Linked DNA regions of Neurospora crassa OR74A. The protein of the gene in region 3 interacts with the protein of the main gene of each other region in a biochemical or structural test. Links are inferred from orthologs where the notes say so. Each region holds a gene or a part of one and is shown on either strand. Other genes may lie near its edges.

Region 1 (4,214 bases), on a different chromosome or scaffold from region 3:
TACTACACGGTAGACGCACCCCAGGGCAACTTACAAACCACAAGTGTTTTGAGAAGCGTGTCGATCACCTCGTTGCTGGGCCCAACCATCAGTCAGTTCCTCTGAACAGCCTCCTTCCTGCTTTGGTCAGTGAAGGCAGAGGAGCGGTCAGGTTGACCGTAGAAAAGCGTGGGCCGCAAGAGTGGCCGCCGTCGTGGCTGGCTTGGCAGGCCGGCTGGCTACTGTAGTAGCACGGATGGAGTGAAATTGAGACTGTCGCCGACGAGACGGGGCGTGGTGTGGGTGTCGTGGTGGATGGCCAGTGTTGTGAGTGGTGTCTGGTGTGCGGCAGTTGTTGTGTTGTGATCCAAGCAATGATGGAAATGTGGATTGACAAAAGAGGGACCAAACTAAACAGAGGAAGAGAAGCGAAGATGGAAGCTGGATTATAGGTCGAATCGGAAATCCGGAGACGCTGATCCGGAATCCAGGATTGGAAAGCACATCGTTAGATGGTCCCTTCCTGTGCTAGGTATTGTACTTCAATCCGCACTCTGCAATTTCGGAATAGTTCATCATCCCCGGTCCGTTCCTTCACCGCGGACCTTTCTGTGGGACATCGATGCCTGTCTGGACACCTACCTATGCTATGGTAGGAGATGGAGTGGAAAGAGCACAGCTGGTCACCCAGGTTGATAAATTAGTTCAGTTCCAGCTGTTGGGCAGCCCCACGGTGACAGTGTTCTCAGATGATTCCACGGCAACTAAAGAGTTCACTAAAATCCAGGGACATCGGCCGGCAGAAATTCTCGTGAAATTCCACGTTCGACCAGGTGGACAAGTTGCAGAAGTGGAAGCTTCTATCGCATTGCTGTCGTGCAGGAACCTTACTGGCCGTTGTTCCGTTGTCCTCTGGGCAGGCATTTGCCGGGCTATGATGTACCTACCTGGTTTACCTTATTACCTACCTACTTACTGTACCAATGCCCGTGCTTCGGTCGAGGGATGGCCGCCCCGGGGTGCCCCTGTGGCCTTGGCTGTCAGCAGCTGCCCTGGGCAATTCCACTTCGCGTTGTACCCCGCCATTTCTTGATATACTACTGTACGCAGTAGGTAGGTAGGTACTTTACCCAGCTCTACAATAGGTACCTCCCGTCTTGCCTGCCCAAAACCCAAAGCCCCACTACAAGTACGTAGAGGTACCTCTAGGTACAAGCAAACTGGTCGCTCCGGCCGCGTCCTTTCACTGCACGCTTTGTGCTGACGCCCCCCCTGCAGTCCACTGCAGTGGTTGATATCTAAGTAATGCACGCTGTGCCCGCCCTGGCACAAAACCACTTTCACAGAGTCGCGTCTCGAAGCGCGTCCGAAGCGCAGCGCTGGTTGGCCGCCCTTCCATGTCAATTAAAGGATCCTGGCCAACATCAACAAAGGAACACTCCTATCAACACCATCATCCCTCGCCCGAATTATTGTCGACCGCGACAACACTATCCGACTGACGTGCATCGCCATCACACCAGTATTTTTTTGCCATCGTATATTTCAAGCTACATAGTCCAGAGCAGAAAGCTCTTAACGCGGGGCAGGCCGCGTCGCGCATCCCCCGTCGGTTTTTTTTCTGCCCAGTGAACAGAGTTCGAAGTTAGTTACCTCGAGTAAACTACAACTGAAGTGTTCCACGCCGGCGAATATCCCACGACGACGTCGCCTCGCCGCCCCGCCTCGACAATCCGTCCCCAGCCGATTTCCCTCGCTGATCCACCCTCGATACCGATTCTCCCTTCGCAATGTATCTCCCTCGACAGCTTATATCAAAACTCTACCTCCACTTGCAAAATACCCGCCATCCACTATCGCCGCCCGTCCTCATCTTGGTCGCTCTCGAAACCGATGCGCTATGTGCCTGCCGTATCCTAACCCAACTTCTCAAACATGACTATATTCCGCACAAGATCCAGCCAGTCGCTGGCTACTCCGACCTCGAACGTGCCGGCACTGAGCTCGTCAGCCCCATGATGGAGACCCGTGGTGGTGCTGGAGGAGTCGTCGTATGCTTGGGAGTGGGTGGTATGGTTGACCTCGGCACAGTTTTGGGACTTGAGCCCGAGGGCGAAGAAAATACCTTTGGGGGTGTAGAGGTGTGGGTGATCGACTCCCATCGCCCGTGGAACTTGGGCAACGTTTTCGGCGGCTTTCCCCTCGAACCAGAGACGCAAGAGGCCAGGACATTCTCTGCGCGAACCCCCATTGGTGTCAATGGCGGCCGGATAGAGCGAGCATACAAACCAGGCAAAGGCGGCATCATTGTCATGGATGACGGCGACATTGAAGATGAGCTCTCCAAGGAACGAGATGCGTATCTGGCGCTAGTGGATATGCCCGAAATCGAAGATGATGGCCGAGACTTGGGCGACAGTGATGAAGACGAAAGCGAGAACGAGGAAGACACGGGCGATACATCGGTTGTTGCAGGCAGAAAGAGGAAATCATGGTCGGACTTCGACGAGGACGATGATGAAGACGACCGACCCAGACAGCGACGAAGAAGCAATTCGGTGAGTACATTCCGATTTCTTCATAGTAATACATCTCTCATGCCAGATACAGTCGAGTCCAATTCCAGATTCGCCTCGACGACCGCAACACCGTGGTCTCATATCTCTACGCGACGATGCCCTATTTTCCAGTGACGCGCTGGAAGCTCCGCCTGCTGCACAACCACCCAGAGGCCCTTCAGCCAACACCCTCCGACGGAGATTGCTACGACTACGACGAGAAAACGAGGGAGTTTTGCGCGAGTACTACCGACTGGGTACATCATATTCGGAGCCCATCTCGTCCATGATGTACTCCCTTGCGTCAGAACTGGGTCGTGAAGACAACGACCTGCTATGGTTAGCGATCGTTGGGGTCACGTCGATGGAGCTGTACGGCCGCTCATCTGCCGGTATTGCGGTAGCAGCTCGCAGGTCAGACGCCCGCATTTCCGGTTGGCTCGGCATGCGTGGTGCGAGAATACGGCAGCTTCTGCGAGACGAGGTCAGACGTCTCAACCCACCAGAGATAGGAAACGGCCGGGTGCTCCCCGAGACGACAGGAATTATCCCAACAACCGCTCGAAGTCCGGAGGATACCAGTATCAGGTTGTCGCCGGAGCCCAAGTTCCTGCTTATTAGGCACTGGAGTTTATACGACAGCATGCTTCACTCACCCTACCTCTTCTCTCGGCTAAAGACGTGGAGCGAGGCTGGCATGAAGCGATTACACAAGCTTCTCGCCAAGATGGGTGTCAGTCTGGTGCAGTGCAAGCAGAGTTATGCCCACATGGACATGATGTTGAAGCGCGAACTTCGCACCAAACTACTAAAATACGCGTCTCTCTACAACCTCGACGAACTTGTCCCGACCATAGACACGGACGGGAAAGATCGTGGAGGTGCCAAAGATGGATGGGGCTTTGTACGCAGTTGGGGTTGGAGGGCAACCCTGAGTGCGCAAGATGTCGGTGTCGTAGTCGGAGCCCTGTTGGAAGTGGGGAAGAACACCACTAGTGCTGATGACCTTCCTGCTGGCCCATCTCAGGATCTTCTCGACGTAGACAACAACCAGAGCCAAAGTGAGGAGTGGATCCCCAGGTTCTGGGAGGCGTATGATGCGCTGGAGGACATCGAGGCCCTTAAGGCTGGCCTTCCCACGGCGCAGTATCTACACAAGGCCATCTTCACCACTGGCACGACAATTTTGAAGAAGAAACAAATATCTCATCTGCGCGCATTTCGCATGTGCGTGGTCAAGGACTCACCAGATGCGACACTCTTCAACCACCCCGGCGCTTTGACCAAGCTAGCGCTCTGGATCGGTGAAGCACTCGCGGAACAGGAAAAAGAAGCCACTGGCGGGAGGCTCGCCCATGGCGGTCGTGGCACACCTCTCGTAGTGGCTAGTCTAGATGACAAGCGCGGAGTGTATGTTGTCGTCGGTACTGGTGGCGGCGGTGGGCCAGACACAAAGTTTCTCGATCGTGAATCGGCCAAGAAGCGAGCCGAAGAAAAAGAGGCCAAAGCTAAAGCCAAGGAGATGCAGAGAAGGATCAAGGAAAAGATCAAGGCCGAGAAGAAGGAGGCCAAGAGAAAGGAAAAAGAAGAGAAAAAGAAAGCCAAGTCCGACGCCGGCGGCGATGAGGACGAGGAGGAGGACAACGAGGAAGATAGTGACGACGACTCGGATCTCTC
Region 2 (3,591 bases), about 2.7 Mb from region 3:
CAGGCCGAGCTATCGTAGAAGGTCCGTCCTCGGCTGGAGGCGATTCGAGGAGTACAGGCCGGTGGTGAGAAGCAAAATTCTATGGAGCAATCTTGTCGACAGCAACATACAAGAAGCACCGACCGCGCCATGCTGCATCCGGCCGGAACTCTTTGGCCCCGCCTGCAAAGACTTCGTCGGGCGGGATATCTGATGACTAGTATGTACATAAGCTTCGACGGTTCGGGGTTTCCATGTTGTCCCGTCGTGCGTCGTAGCGTCTATCGTACCTAGCGCCGGAGGAAGACTGAACAAGAACTGATATGGTCTCAATTGATCAGTTGAAAGCCAATGATACTACCTAGCAGTTGCTGGATGGCCTGGACCTGTTGTTTTAGCTGGCCATGGTGGGGTTGAGGCCGTGGAAGGGAAAGGCGTCATCTGCATGATGTAATCCTTGTTCCACCAAGCAGCCTTCCCAGTGCGAATTGGTTTCTCTTTTTTGAAATTGAACACTGCACCCCAGTAACTATCATTCAGCTCCACGTGTGACAGACTGACAGCGAGCACACGGCAATAACGGTCAAAAGTTTACATAACCCTATGACTGTTCTTATCGCCTTCTTCAGATGGGCCCTATTAGCTGTAGTTTGACAAATCAAGGACTAGTCAGTACCTCTTCTCTTTACTCGGGTTGATTCTCAGTATCTGCCATCAACGAAACAATATACTGAAAAAAGGATGTTATCAGCCGCCACAAACACAGTGTTGCCATGCCAGAAAACTTGGCCACTGGTTGGTGAAAAAATTTGAAGGGCCTTGTGAAACCCCTTGCTGGCTGTCACTCCAGCCTCGACGTTCGGCCGTCGTCCACCGCGGCAATTCCGTGTGGGTTCCTGAATCAATGGTCTGGCCGTCAAAGTAACCTTTCCCTCATCCTTCCCGCAACTTACAAACTGTGCTACCGTCTGGTTGTGGGCTCATGGTCCCTTGTCGATGCAAGCACTTCTCAAACCTTCATCAATGGTCCAGCCATTGAGAAAAAGTAGATGGTAACTCCTTGCCCCACAGAGACTCAAAATATTTGGTTGAAGTCACCTTTGGCCGTCGTCGTAGTACAAGGACTGGTCAGCTCTGTGTGTGCGGCGCAACCCTTTTGAGTCGGTCCTTTGCGCTCCCTCCAACATCTAGCTGCTGATCAATGACCATTGCATATGGCTTCTGGTCGAAGCCATTGAGTCCGTCACTCCCTCTCCGGTACTGTTCGGAAGGCGCCACGCCGTCAATGGTCAGGAAAGAGCGAGGGGTCTGTCAACCTGTCGGCAACCGCTGCCGATAGCAGTTTTCCATTGCTGGTCTGCAGCAACAAGCTCCGGTCTCAAATCATCGATGCCAGGTCGATATTGTTCAACCCAGCTTTTGCAAATATCCCTGCACAATCAGACGCTCCACATCTCCTTGCCGGACATAGAATTGACTGTTCTTTGTCAGGTTGATCGCCCTTTAGACATGCGTTAGTTAGCGTGGAACCAAAGCCATCATCTATTCCTCCATCTGTAGCGTAGCTTACCCATATTCGGTTTGGATCTCGCCCGCATCCTTCAACACTCGGACGTCGATAAAAAGGTCTCGTGGGGGTTCGAGACTGCCTGTGAGATCGATATCCGTCCATTGGCCTTTGTAGAGGGCCAACAAATCTCCAAACTGTCGAAAATAATCCTCTTCCTGGGGACTAAGACTGCTGGTGGTCCCGCCCCCTTCATTGCCCTCCGTCACGCCCTTGGGCCCTCCTGTCGTCTGGCCGGCAAGGTCGAGGATATCGGCTCCATTCCACACCAGCTCCTCGAGCTTGTCTGTTCGGATTCGGTGATAGGCGAGCAGACAGCGCTTGTTCCTTCGCATTGAAAGGTGGTTGACCAGCAGCGTGCACGCGGTGGCCTGTTCGGCGGAAGGATCAAATGACCCCTGGAAAGGTTCAAGTAAACTGGCGACGTCTTTGTCAAGATCCCGGATTTCTCGGGCCACTGCACGGACAAGCTCGGTCTGATAAGGTGGAAGATGGCTCAAGTTCTGTGTCCTCTTGGCATGCTGGACCTGGTGATGGTGTGAGTGTTCGTATCCAGGGAGGATGCAGTGAGCTTGCACAAACCAGTTTGTTACCCAAGTCACCGTACATGGGCATGTTTTCGACGTGGCTTAAGTGCCTCTTTGGACAGTTCGAAGCTGAAAGGTGTGATAGTGGAATTGACTATGTGTCTATTTTCTGACGCGTCTCACGTCGCGTCGTTTTCTCGAACAGCCAGGCGGGTGAAGTTCGAGGTTCCGTCTGGATGTGAAACCGTTCTATGGCCACTAGCATATCAAGCGTTGTTAGGCAGATAGGCGCTACAAGATGGTCTAAGCACTGCACTTGAACGCGGGGTGGGCATCAAAAGTCCTCGGACAGCCCTAACCCGAAGCAGAATACGCAGTAGAGGTACGTGTATCCGAACATTTTCTTCGTCCCATTCCCTCTCAACCAGCTGCATACGGCGTGTCCCAAGGCATACGTGCAGTCAGGGCATTCACTAACGTCGGCGACAAGAATAGGGATATTCATAAAGCAAGACGTACAGAGGTAGTTGAAGGGTGATGCTTCTTCTCATGGGCAAAGGCCGCAGTACAGGCCACCGTACCTTTGAAACGAACGTCTCATTTCCTGAAGCCGATACCAGTTCAGAGATACATGTGAAGAATCGGAGTGCCTTCGCACATGGTGCACACATTCTACATGCCCCTACGTCCAAAAGTTACTAGCATTAAGCCCTTGAACAGTTAAGAAATATTCAATAAACTATTGCTAAGCAAACACGATATAATCTATCAACTGTTGAAACCAGCAACCTTCTCGGACCACCTTGATACTCCCACCCGCCCATAACGCACCGGACAATCGGTAATGGTGACGAGGAAAGACTACACTAGGCTCCGTAGGGTTGCCAAATTCCAACTTCAGATGGGCTGCTCCATTGGACAAGCACTCGGCATGCGCAAAGATACAACAACTACGATTCATGAGTTAGCTCAAGAGCTGCGAAAAAGAAGCAATATTCCAAGTTGAATGAGATGCCAAAAGGGTCAGAGTCGCATAAATGCTGGTTTCGTCGTCATCTGCAGAGGTCTTAAGTCTGCTTGGTAACACGGACCAATTCGATCATCACGGGATGGGCGTGGGAGTACCGGTAACGGAGGAGTAGGGAAGGAGAATATCAAACAAGGTGCTAGAACTTACACTAATGACAGACACCGACGCGGCGTACTTCTGGCATTGCCAGCTTTTAGCAATTTGGAGCCATTCTCTCTGATGTCTCCCACAATGGCGCTGTTCAAACGCGGCGGTTGCACACGAAGAACCAAAACGGGGAGAATTTCACACAGCGAAAAATTTCCTGGCCATTAAATACAGACAGTGCACAGACCAGGCACAGGAACCCACCGAACTGACCGAAGACTCCATCGTGAAGACGGGACCTACATGGAAGCTCCGATAAGATAAGGAGCTAAGTACTGCCCTGTATGTAGGTAGGTACCTAAGCTCTCCCCCAGCTTCACGGCGTCAGTGCCACTGGAAGT
Region 3 (4,152 bases):
AAAAAGACAGAAAGGGGAAAGAATGGAAGTACGAAAGGGTAAGAAAAGAAGGGGAAAAAAAGAAAGGGGAAAGAAAGACTAGAAGGGGAAAAGGAAAGAAAAAGGAACAAAAGAAAGGAAAAAAAAAAAAGAAGAGAAAGTAAAAAAAAGGGGGCAAAAGAAAACTCACATCCAAATCAGTATACTCATCCAACGCACTCAACCACTGCTGCTCCGTAAAGCCCTTGGCAATCACCCGTTCCTTGACCTTTCTCAAACTCATCTCCACCCCAAACTCATCTTCTTCTTCCTCTTCTGGGGTATCATCAGGTCTGCACGCTCCACTATCCGCCAACCCCTTCACAAGGTTATAAATCCTACTACTAGCATTCATTGCCCTCTTATTGCCAGTATTCCTATCATCCTGCGCCAACGACTCCTTGCTAGCTTCCACGAGACGGAGAGCTTCATCAACATCATCTTGCGTGACGGTGTTGCTGAACCTAAGCCGAGCCAAAGCCTGCGCAAGACGGACGACACCTAGCAAAGTACGCGGCGTGGTATGGCCAAAGTTCTGGTTCTTCTTCTCTGCGCGTTTCTGCTGTGCGCGCAGGCGGACGTAGGTTTTCACCATGTATTCGGAGACTGCTTGCGGGACGACGGGGCGGTACTCGCGGGCTTTGGCGACGTAGGCACGGACTTCCTCGGGGGAGAAGACGGATGAATCCGGTCCGGTGCCCGTGCCAATGTCGGGGTGGCGGTTGTGCATGTGCACGTAGGCGACGTGCTTGGCGAGTTGGGCGTCCGTGTCGCGCGTGGGCGTGTCGAGGAGGAGGAACATGATGTCGAAACGGGAGAGTAAAGCGGCGGGGAGGTTGATGTTCTCGACGGCCGAGAGACGGGTGTTGTACCGCCCGTAAAGCGGGTTGGCGGCCGCGAGGATGGAGGTGCGCGCGTTGAGAGTGGTGGAAATGCCGGCCTTGGAGATGGAGATGGTTTGTTGTTCCATGACTTCGTGGATGGCGGTGCGGTCGTTGTCGTCCATCTTGTCGAACTCGTCGATGCAGCAAATGCCGTTGTCGGCGAGCACGAGGGCGCCGCCTTCGAGAACCATTTCGTCTGTCACGGGGTCGCGCATTACGGCGGCGGTGAGACCAACGCCCGAGGAACCGCGGCCAGACGTATACACGCCGCGCGGGGCTACCTTGGAGATGTACTTGAGCAGTTGCGATTTGGCCACACCGGGGTCACCCATCAGGCAGATGTTGATGTCGCCGCGGATCTTCATGCCGTCGCCGACTTCCTTAGTGACACCGCCGACCAACAAAAGGAGGAGGGCCTTCTTGACGTCGAGGTGGCCGTAGATTTCGGGGGCGATGGACTTGGCGAGGTACTCGTACGTGTTGCCGGTCTGTTGGAATTTGGCGATACGGCGGAGCAGGGAGGGGTCGATCTGCATCTCGGTGTAGGCTTTCTTGTGCTGGACAATGTGGTGGGCCTCGAGGTAGGTGTCGGTTAGCAGACCGGCGCGCATGGCCTTGAAGCCGGTATAAGGAGTAGGGAGGAAAATTCCCGAGATGTCGACAATGTCACCGGGGTGGACATTTCTGACCAGACTGCCGTACGCAAGCACGGTAAGGGTACGGGGAATCTGACCGATGGGGACCTGCTCGGCGAGTTCCTGGATCTTGATCTCCTGGAAGGGCAGGAACTTGGAAGCCCGCGACGACGGGTACAGCTGACCTTTGGCCTGGTTCTCCTTGCAGTCCTTGGATGGGCAGAGAGTCAGGGGGGCGTACTGCTTGTCGGTGACGGGCTGGAAGATTTCGCAACCGCAGCGGTCGCACGTGTAGGCGCCAACCTGGACAATGGGCTTGACGTCGGACACACGGGTAGCAATACCGCGGATGGTGATCAGGTGGCCGAGATGATCGCCGCGCACTTGGCGGACCGACAGGGCTTTTTGGGGCCCATCAGCAGTCATGGTCCGGGGCTTGAAGACGAGGGTGTAGCGGCGGGTGAGCTGGGCGGGGTATGTGTCGTTGAGCATGTCGGGGTCGCGCAGGTTCTCGGCGGCCTCGGTGAGGGTGCGGTTGCGCTGTTGGCGGTTGGCCATGAGGACGTCGAGCACATCGTCCTTGAATGTGATGTCGTTGCTGGTTTGGGGCATCAGCTTGTCGACGGCGCGCGAGAGCACCTCGACGTAGTGCTTGGTGTTGCGCTCTACCGACTCAACCAGCTTGAGGCCCTCGTTGACGTCCTCCTCCCATGACTGCAGGTCGTCCAGGTCGATGACTATCTCGTTGATCTTGCGGTCGGCCAGTTCCTGGAGAAGCTCCTTGTACTTGTGGCGGGGGGCGCGTCTCCTCGCTCTTTCGGAGCGGCGCTGTTGCTGGGCATCGTCGTCGTCGTCGTCGTCCATAAAGTCATACTCGTCGCTGAGGTCGTCCTCGTTGATGTCGATGTTGCCTAGCGCATGGGTGATGGAGTCTTGGGGCGAGGTCTTGAAGTCGTCGAGAAAGTTTTCGAACGCGGCTGTTGTTCGAATCGTTGTGGTTAGCGCCCAGCCTGCCTCTTGCTTGCAATCCATCCTCCGCGCTTCGATCGAGAAGCCATCATCAAATCAAAGTTTTCCCTCGTCGTAATTGAAATTATTTAGTCACCACCTACACATTTGCGCGTCGTAGTCGACGGGGGCGGGGTATCTGAGGAGCGCCATGGTGAGAGATGTGGTGGGTGGGATAGTATGGCGCAACTCGGTGTGTGGTCAAAGGTCTGGCTGGGGATTGTTTTGGTTGTGTTGCGATGGGGAATTCGACTTTGTTTTGTTGGACGAAGGATGTCAACATTGATTGAATGGAGGAGCATGAAAGAGTGGGTCCTCTGTCCATTCAGTTGACTCCACTGTCGCGGTTCGAGTCGCGATGAGACGCGGTCCGGCAAAGGAATCTTTAATGGGCCAAGGTACTTACATGCATCCCTACCTCTACTCTAGACACTGGAGAATGCCCCTGGCAGGTGGCAGTGAGTGGCAGGAATGAGTTATACAGGAGGCGTGTCAGTGTTGTCCAGGAACATGATTATCGACTTGAGCCTCATAACATGTCAACCATAAGAGTGTGAAGTGAAGTACCATCTCATGGCATTGAGTTGCTGGAAACAGGTTATACTTCATATCCCACGTTCGTACTCATCTATACAGTTTCAATGCCTCAGATTTGGCCTCTTTCTCCAGTTTCCATCCGGATATCTTCTCCCTTCAACATGATGGCTTCTTGATGCTCATGTATTCCCCTAACAATTCCATGCGGCTGTACCTGCGCTGGGACATGCCCGAAACCCCCTGTACCAGGTCGTGGCGTGCCTCGGCACATGCAAACTGGGGACAGCTGGAGAAGCTCCAATCGGGCTCCAGCCGCGGCTCCAGGTTCTCCCCAATCAGCTGAAAACAACACCAATCATGCCCCTGGATCTCCGCCCAAGACAACAAGAACCCGGGGATTGATGGGGCGGATGGATTCCCGTTGTTCGGTGTAATTGTTAGACTAGTAGGTCGACTCAGCCAACTAAGCTACCTAGTGACCTTCGCTAGGTACGGTCAGGACCCTTTCATCTGTCATCTCATCATCGCCTATGCCAAACACCACGACGACAGCATCATCACCACCACCACCACCACCACCACCACCATAACAAGTAGTCGACACGGACGACGACGACGACGACGACGACGACGACGACAGCAGCCACCCACCATGGCTCCCAGAAAGAACGCGCAGTCTACCGCTGCCGAAATCTCCCTGGTCCATCTCCAAAACTGCTTCGTCAACCTGCCACCGTCACTGGCCTCCCTGCTCTCCAATGTCAACACGGTAAGACCCCCAGTCAGAAGAAGAACCATGGAATGCCACTGGAGACTAGCTGACACAGAACCACCCTCATGGATAGCCCGCCCAGAATGTCATCGTCGAGCTCAACTACCGCGTCCAGTCGACCCCTGACGCCATCGCTTCAGGCGCCCCCGCCTCGGTCACCAAAAACATCTTTGTAGGCTGGACCGGCATGCCCAGCAAGCGCAAGGTCAACCCCATGGTCGGGAGTCACGGCATCGACAGGACACGCTCGACTTCGTCCCGCGACCAGGAAATCCCCCTCGTCGAGATCGACACCACC
Region 4 (4,005 bases), about 8.9 Mb from region 3:
TTTTGGTTCCTGAGCTGTTCACATCTACCTTTACCTATCTAATAAGACCGGAAGGGACGGATGGATGGATGGATGGATGGATGGATGGATGGATGGATGGATGGATGGATGGATGGATGTCAAAAAGTGGTTTTTGTAAAGTGTCTTCATTTTTTGGTGTGTATCAATGTGTGTCTGTCTATGTACGTACGACGGCAGGTCTATGTAATGGATAGGTACTAATGCCGATGATGAGGACTTTTGTGCCCCTGCTCCCCATTTTTGTCTTCAATGCAAACAAGTACGCAAAACCAAACAAATACCCAAACGCCAAACACCAACCCTTGTCCTGGGTTACAACGAATCCAAACACCTTCCCTATGATATACTTTTGAATGCTCTCTCAAACACGCCATGCCATGCTCCGTCCGTACTTCTCAACAATGCTTCCTTCTCCAACAACGCAAAACAACCTACTCATGAAACCCGACTCGTCCAAATCATCAGCAACTTTGCAATACTATCCCAAACACAATCAATCAATCATCCAACGCCTCTCCACTCAAGATCCCCCTCAAAATCCCCACTCCCGCCCCATCATCCTTCAGCAAAGTCTGCTCGACCTCCCTCTCCCCCACACAGCTAGCCACCCTCTTCTCATCTCCCGCCACCAACGCGCCTCCCATCCCAAACACATCCTTCTTCTTCTTGCCTCCCCGCTTCGGTGTCCCCACTCCAGGCGAGCTATACCCCAAGGCAGTAAACGATCCCGTCTTGCCGTCCACTGGCGTGATCAAACTGAGAGTTTCCAAGGAAGACACCACCTCGCGAAACTCAGATGACGAAAGCGGATGAAGCAGCGAGTCCTGTTTGCAGAGCTTGGTGTAAGCTTCAAAGAGAGTCTTGACTGTCGGGGCAATTGGCGCCTCTTGTTTCCTCGACGGAGTGCCGGTAGTGGATGCAAAACTGGCTGAAGCAGAGTTAAGAGCCTCCGACTGCGCGGCGCGGTTACGTTTCTCGATGGCGACCAGAGCGCACAGAGCGGCTTTCTGCTGGAGGTTGAGCGTCTTGAGACGCTGAGTGGTGCCGTTGCTGAATGCTGCGGCTGTGACTTTGCTGAGGTCGGCGATGCTGACGCGCGGAGCGGTGGCGGGCGTCAAGGCTTGCAGAGATTTGAGTAAAGAGGCCGAGACGCTGGCGCTGGGTCCAGTGGAGATGCTCCGGAAGAGAGAGGAAGGCGCAGGAGCCGAGGAGAGGTTGGTGTTTTCGCCTAGGACGCGCTTCTTGGAGGGAGACATTTGTAGCATCTGCTCCTTGACTTCGTTTTCGTGCTTCAGACGGGTCTCCGACTCGACCAGGTCGATGGCGCGGCGGCAGATCTCGAAGGCGCGGCGCAGGTCGCCGGTTTGGCTGGAGACTTTGCGCGAGCAGAGCTCGATGGCGGCTGGGTGGAAGAAGGGTATGTAGTTGGGGTCCTTGGGTGTTCCACCAGGAAGCAGGCTCTTGAGACGTGTGATGATGATGTTCTTGACCTGAGGCGCCGTGTATGGAAGGATGGGCAGAAGCTCAGGCTTGAGGTTGCGCGACTTGAGGCGCGGCAGGAAACGGTCGGTGAGGTCGAGCGCGTTGGCAATGCCGATCAGGGCGAGGCGCGAGTTCTTCTTTTCGAGTGACCATTCGAAGAGGCTGTAGAGACTTTCAGGGTCGAGGGTGAGGATGTGGTCGATTTCGTCCAACACCACGAGGAAGACGTCCTGGGTCTTTTTCCTGGGCAGGATGAGCTTTTGGAGAGCTGCCACCACGTCGCTTTCGGTTGAGAGTTCCTCCTTGTCTTCATCTTTGCTGACTAGCTGGTCGAGAAGGGTGACGTAGAGATCCTTGGACGACTTGATGCTCATGCAGTTGATGTAAGCCTTGCGCACTGTTGATGTCTCGGATGCGAACTTGTCGGTGACCTTGTTGACGATGGCGCTCTTTCCGGTTCCAGGAGGTCCGCTGACGTAGAGGCAGCCGCTGGGATGGGCAGTGGTGCAGCAATCCAGGAAAGTGTTGAGCTTCTCGCGCTCGTCGTCGCGTCCAATGAGCTCTCCAGGATCGGCGCTTCGAGAAAAGAGTTGGCGAGCTTGATGGTAGACTGTCTGAGAAGCGGCGGGTGTCATGGGCGTGCTTGGTGTCATGCGCCTGGAGAGCTTGCCAACGGACATGACGCGATGGCGCGGAGTGGTGACTGGTACTCTTGCAAAGACATCGTAGTGTCGTGGTGTGGAAGGTGTGACGGGAGCTGTCTTTGGCGGGCTGGCGATGACTGATTTGCGCCTTCTGAGAAGTGACTTGGCTGGTGTTTCGGCCTCCTTTCTGTCCTCGTCCTCGTCTCCTGTGGGCTTGCGGTTTTCCTTGTGGTTCTCAACGTCCTCGTCGGCAGTTGGCTTGGGTGGTGAGGCGGCCTTCTCCTTCTCTGCTTGGATGTGGTCGGGCTCATGGTGGATCTCTGGGTGGATTCGGAGAGAGCGTCTTGTTCGCTTTACGGCAAGAGGGCCTAGTGTGATTTCCTCGTCTTGTGGTCTGTCAGTATGTCGATGGCAACTCTTGAATGTCGTTGTCAGTTGCAGCTGCTCACCTGTGAGTCTGGTGCTCCTTCTCCTCTTTCCCAGAGTCGTGGGTGCGCTAGGTGAGGCCATGATTTTTTGTCAAGTCTAAAACACCAGTCGCAATGCACAATCACAATGACAAGCGGCAATCGCGTGGAAAGAACGATGCGCGGATGTTGATGGTGGTGATGGACTTGCGTGGTTGTGTGGTTGTAAGGTGGAAAGAGGAACCTTGCGCACTCAGTCCCAGTCGCACTGCACCAAAGTAGAATTCCAGTTCGCGCGCTGCCACCCCTGGCACATTCCACTTCCACATTGCGGAGACGCGACCGCGAATTTGTGGGGCTGCAGCTCGGTGCTCGACGCGGCTTCCCCGCTGCACTGCGCGTTTCAATTAAGCCCCGTTGCGCATGAGCCACACAGACTGTGGCTAGGGAGGGTTCGTTTCGTGGCGCGTGCCTTGTGTCAAAGCGGGGCCTCTTCCAGATCCGTATCCACTTCCCCGCACTATTCTCACAGTGTCCACAGGGGCATTCCAGGGGAGCCCTCCACTGAAGCAGGGAGACCGCCGCCTGTGTTTCACTTTGCTGTGCTGGAAAGTGGCGATCTCCGTCCCGTTGGACCTCCCGAATCGGTACGTATAAGAAAACTAAACCTCCAATACCCGACGCCACTACCGTAGGTGCCTTTGCTTGTGTTTATCGACAAGTATCATGACCACAAGTGGCAATGACAAGTCATCCACCTCAGTGTCTGTTCAGATGTCCATGTCGATAGCCCAGAGATCTCACAGAAATATCAAACTCGGTTGACCGGTTGTCATTTAATGGACTTGGTGATACTTGATTGTTCTCCAAGATGGGTTCGTTAAACATACAGCACAATGGCTACGATGCCGACGTGGAAAAGATAAGAGAAGAAGAGTATCCTATGCTGAAGGGCAAGTTGAAGTTCGTTTTCAACAACTTGACCAGACCACTAACACAAAACAAACAGACTCCATCTACCTCGACCATGCCGGCACCACCCCCTATCCCAAGTCCCTCATGGACCGTTTCGCCCAAGAGATGACCACCAACCTCTTTGGCAACCCCCACTCCGCCTCAGCTTCCTCCCAACTGTCAACCCAGCGCATCCAAGACATCCGTCTCCGAGCCCTGCAGTTCTTCAACGCCGACCCAGCCGACTTTGACCTCGTCTTTGTCGCCAACGCCACAGCCGGGATCAAGCTGGTTGTCGAAGCCATGAGATGTCTGCCCACGGGCTTTGACTATGTCTACCATCAATCCAGCCATACCAGCTTGGTAGGAGTTCGGGAAGAGGCTAGAAGTAGTGTTTGTCTGGACACTCGGCAGGTGGAAGACTGGTTATCTGGGAGCTGTCCCTTTGACGACAACGAAGACGAAGAACGACCGATACTCTTCGCCTACCCAGCCCA
Region 5 (3,943 bases), on a different chromosome or scaffold from region 3:
AGAACAACGACGTCGGAACAATTAAAGAGAATGGGGCACAGATGCGAAAGAAAAGAAGAACCCACCTCAGCTACTGGGGATATGCAGAAAACATACATTACTACACGCTGTCTTCTTTCCCTGGAGAAGCACAAAATGCAGTTACTCAAAGGGGCTCACTGGCTCAGGAGCGGTATAACCACGGGATACAAGGAAGGGCGCAACAGTCCTCTCAACTCTCGACCACTATCATATCCCAGTCAGCAAAAGACTTTGGCTTATCACGCAGCTTGGTTGCAGGGTTTCACTTACGATGCTCTTCTGCTGGTGGGGAACAACTCCATCCTTGATCCAAATACCATAGCTGCCCATCATGTTGGCAAGCATCATGTCAGTGGCCAGTCGGTCTCCCACGACGGCGATCTGGTGAGGACTGGTGACACCGGTTTCCGGGTGGGCACGGAAGTAGGACATGATCTCGTCTCCACAGCCTGGCTTTTTCACACCATGGGGGAGAACAGTGATGCCGGTGGCCTTTTCAACTGCGGATGCCATCTGGCCGTCCTTGTCCCAGCTTAGGGCACCAGCAGTGTTGGAAACGATCAGAAGACGGCGTCCTGGGTATGCTGCTCGTAGAGCCTCCATGCGTTCCTTGGCTTAATCAGTCAAAGCGTTCCTGAATGGAATTGGGACGAGAGACAACCCACCTTGTAAGCCTCATACACTTCATTGTGATCAGGATAGGCAAAGCAGTCATCTTTGTCGAGCACGACAGCCTTTATGTCAACCTTCTTCTCGCCATTGCCGGAGAAGGCTTTGTTAAGAGGGATGGGCAGGTCGTTGAACGTTGGAACTGTAGCGTGGGGCAGACATAGTGAAGGCTTGGCGATAAGCTTGAAAATGTTCAATGAGGCAGACAAATTGAGATTGAGCTTTGACATATTGGTCGCGATAGTCCTCTTGGAGTTTGTTTGGTTGAGATGACATGAGGTTGCAAGAAAGCCTATGAACTCTCCCACCTATAACCCTCCCGCGAAGTACCTAGAGGTAGCGTATGTGGTGGTAGACAGGGGCTTGGCTTGCCCCCGTTAGTAGGCAGCGAACCCTGCTACCCGCAGGTACTCTCTAGCAGGTACCTGCTGTCTTCCCATCTAGAGGTAGGTAGCGTCATCCCGGGCGTATGTACAGCTTAACGCGTCTCAATTAAGCGAGCGCGTCTTGACTTTACAAAAGTTTCCCGTAGACTTCGAATTGCAGAGGTAGGGTAAAGGTACAGCGGGACTCCAAGGCATGCCATACAACTTGGACAACATAAACCAAAGCCAATAACACAAACGGTATGCCTCCTCGTCGGAAATCAACAGATCAGCACGATCTAGTCGAACGCCCCTCTCGAAAGCGGCCACTCCCTGCCGACCCCTACGAAGTTCCAGATGAGGATGATGCGGTTCCCTCCGCAAAGCGTCAACGGCGACAACCAGAAGATGGAGGAACACCTTCAAAGCGAAACGCCACCCCGCGGAAACAGGTCGATTTCCTCCAGCGCGACCTAGCCTCTGTGCCAGAAGAACCCGAGTCACCTACCGAGCAGACACCCAGCAAGAAAAGGATAGGGCGACCACCGAAGGCCAAGACGGGAGGAACACCAAGTGGCAAGCCGAGCACACCATCCGCCCTGCGCAAGAAACAAGTCGACGAGACACCGATCAAGCTCAAAGGAATCAGTGGCGTCGACACACCCGGCAGGCGAGGAATTGCCGACCGATCGGCTAGACGGAAGAGTGCCAGGGCTCTCATCGACCGTGTGCTGGAGGGCGCCGTAAGCGATGACGAGGACGAAGAGCAACAAATCGCACGAGAGATCTACGAGTCAAGCGAGGAAGAAGAGGAAGGGGACACCCAACAAGAAAACCTCGCCGACCAAGAGGCCGAGTTAGCAGCAACCACTCCATCCAAGACAGGGAGGGGGAGAGGACGAGGAGGCAGACCCCCCGGTTTAGCACGACGAAAGAAATCGCCCACACCACCCCGAGACCTCCCTCCCCATGAACAATACTTTTACCAGAACAAGCCGGGATCCAACAAAACCTCGAACAACACGCTCTCCTCGCTCGACCTCCTCATCCACGAAGAATACTTCTCGCTTCTCCGCAACCTGGGTCAGGACCCCCACGAAAAACATATCGATGCCCTCCAGTCGCAACACGCCGCCTCCTTCCCCCAATGGGCCTTTGAGCTCTCCCAAGGCTTCAGCGTCTGCCTCTACGGCTACGGCTCCAAGCGTCGACTTTTGCACCAATTCGCCGAGTACCTCTTCTCCTCCTCCGGCGGTAATGACACAAACAACACAACAATCATCATGATCAACGGGCACACCCGCACCCTCACCTTCCGCGAGATCCTCACCACCATCTCGGCCGCCATCGACCCCACCTTCCGCCTACCCTCCGGAAACCCGCTCGCCATGATCCAAAACCTCTTCACCCTCCTCTCCTCTTTTGCTCAAAAGCCAAGAATCACCCTCCTCCTAGCCTCCCTCGACTCCCCCTTCTCCCCCCTCCGCAAACCCCAAACGCAATCCCTCCTCGCCCATCTCTCCTCACACCCAGCCATCTCTCTCGCTTGCACAGTCGACACGCCCGACTTCCCTCTGCTCTGGGACTCTAGCTTACGCTCCTCGTTCAACTTTGCATTTCACGACTGCACCACTTTTGCAGACCACAGCAAAGAGTTGGACGTAGTAGACGAAGTACACGAGTTACTGGGTAGGATGGGCAAGAGAGCGGGTGGCAAGGAAGGAGTGGCGTTTGTGTTGCGGAGTTTACCCGAGAACGCGAGGAAATTGTTTGGGCTGATTGTGGGGGAGGTTTTGGTGGCTTTTGAGGACGGTGGTGGTGGTGGTGGTGGTACATCAGGGGCAGGAGACTTTGCAGCGGGAGGAGAAGGGCCGGGGGTAGAGTATAGGATGCTTTACAACAAGGCTGTGGAGGAGTTTATTTGCAGTTCGGAAATGGCGTTTAGGACGCTGCTAAAGGAGTATGTTCTTCCCTCTGTTGTGACTTGGCTGTGGAGATGATTTTCTTGGTTTTAAAGGGACAACGGCTAACAGAACGGAAACAGATTCCACGATCATCAAATCATTACGAGTCACAAGGACTCGATAGGGACGGAATACTTGAGCTTACCTTTTAGGAAAGAGGAGCTGGAGTCTATCCTGGAGGAGTTGATGTCGTAGTGATGATTGACGACGATGTATCATGACAATGCTAAGTTTTGAATCGAGATGAATGGGACACACACAGATTTGACCTGGAAGTTATCATACACACGGCAACACCCACCACATGTGTTGGAATGGAAGCCTACACATCATATCATAGTCTTAACATATCCAAAATCCTGGAAAGCTCACCGCAGAACATCAATAGCTCAAGTCTTACGATAATTACAAAGTCGAAAATGTATACTTGCCACTTCGATGTTTTGCTTGTCATGCCATGCTCTCATGATAGGTACTCGATTACCGAAAGGACCTAGTCCACTACTTTGTTTGGCCACACACACACACACACACACACACACACATCGAATCACGAGTCATCGAGCACAAAAGACATCAAGAGTATAACGAAGTTGAAATGTTTTTGATTGGATTCCTCAGTTCAGACAATTCCGTCTCGCGCGCCACGGATGCCAAGGAGACAAAAACAAGCAGCCGCCATGTCCGGGGAACTTTTCCCAAATGCCCGAGCTTCGATCTTGGTTCAACCGTATAAACCAAGCCCAAATCCCAAACTATGTCCAGGGAAAAAACAAACATTGTGCAAAAGAACACCTCCCCTTCCCAGGCCTCTGCCCGTTTAACACTCTCCTTTTTGATTAGCCCATTCGCAGATGCCCTTTTAAGCTTTTGCCCCGTGCCCGTTCAAACCCAATTAAGAACCCAAGAAGGACGCACTTTTCC

What was found.
Region 1: the proteins of NCU08119 (region 3) and NCU04378 form a complex in vitro, tested with the Saccharomyces cerevisiae proteins (6 studies listed by BioGRID). The link is inferred for Neurospora crassa OR74A from reciprocal best matches to the Saccharomyces cerevisiae genes MCM7 and CDC45.
Region 2: the proteins of NCU08119 (region 3) and NCU02631 form a complex in vitro, tested with the Saccharomyces cerevisiae proteins (2 studies listed by BioGRID). The link is inferred for Neurospora crassa OR74A from reciprocal best matches to the Saccharomyces cerevisiae genes MCM7 and PSF1.
Region 4: the proteins of NCU08119 (region 3) and NCU02776 form a complex in vitro, tested with the Saccharomyces cerevisiae proteins (2 studies listed by BioGRID). The link is inferred for Neurospora crassa OR74A from reciprocal best matches to the Saccharomyces cerevisiae genes MCM7 and CDC6.
Region 5: the proteins of NCU08119 (region 3) and NCU01370 form a complex in vitro, tested with the Saccharomyces cerevisiae proteins (2 studies listed by BioGRID). The link is inferred for Neurospora crassa OR74A from reciprocal best matches to the Saccharomyces cerevisiae genes MCM7 and ORC2.

Annotation. Positions count from the first base shown.
Region 1 is NC_026504.1:3,568,030-3,572,243, reverse strand, and holds the start of NCU04378 (DNA replication initiation factor Cdc45), read left to right. Parts: upstream 1-1,411; 5' UTR 1,412-1,769; coding exon 1,770-2,537; intron 2,538-2,589; coding exon 2,590-4,214. UniProt on the Saccharomyces cerevisiae protein: Required for initiation of chromosomal DNA replication. Acts at the origin of replication. Also has a role in minichromosome maintenance.
Region 2 is NC_026501.1:2,993,006-2,996,596, reverse strand, and holds NCU02631 (DNA replication complex GINS protein psf-1), read right to left. Parts: upstream 2,343-3,591; 5' UTR 2,162-2,342; coding exon 2,129-2,161; intron 2,074-2,128; coding exon 1,550-2,073; intron 1,481-1,549; coding exon 1,387-1,480; 3' UTR 513-1,386; downstream 1-512. UniProt on the Saccharomyces cerevisiae protein: Required for DNA replication. Functions as part of the GINS complex which plays an essential role in the initiation of DNA replication by binding to DNA replication origins and facilitating the assembly of the DNA replication machinery.
Region 3 is NC_026501.1:338,711-342,862, reverse strand, and holds the start of NCU08119 (DNA replication licensing factor mcm7), read right to left. Parts: upstream 2,805-4,152; 5' UTR 2,699-2,804; coding exon 2,650-2,698; intron 2,515-2,649; coding exon 170-2,514; intron 1-169. Other genes in the region: pex1 (peroxisome biosynthesis protein), read left to right, coding at 3,735-3,851, 3,928-4,152. UniProt on the Saccharomyces cerevisiae protein: Acts as a component of the MCM2-7 complex (MCM complex) which is the putative replicative helicase essential for 'once per cell cycle' DNA replication initiation and elongation in eukaryotic cells.
Region 4 is NC_026501.1:9,228,610-9,232,614, reverse strand, and holds NCU02776 (cell division control protein Cdc6), read right to left. Parts: upstream 2,805-4,005; 5' UTR 2,658-2,804; coding exon 2,597-2,657; intron 2,534-2,596; coding exon 519-2,533; 3' UTR 128-518; downstream 1-127. Other genes in the region: NCU02777 (molybdenum cofactor sulfurase), read left to right, coding at 3,426-3,507, 3,564-4,005. UniProt on the Saccharomyces cerevisiae protein: Plays a crucial role in forming the pre-replicative complexes.
Region 5 is NC_026505.1:3,801,273-3,805,215, reverse strand, and holds NCU01370 (hypothetical protein), read left to right. Parts: upstream 1-1,191; 5' UTR 1,192-1,318; coding exon 1,319-3,015; intron 3,016-3,099; coding exon 3,100-3,214; 3' UTR 3,215-3,437; downstream 3,438-3,943. Other genes in the region: NCU01371 (UPF0660 protein, variant), read right to left, coding at 142-225, 292-630, 687-920. UniProt on the Saccharomyces cerevisiae protein: Component of the origin recognition complex (ORC) that binds origins of replication. It has a role in both chromosomal replication and mating type transcriptional silencing. Binds to the ARS consensus sequence (ACS) of origins of replication.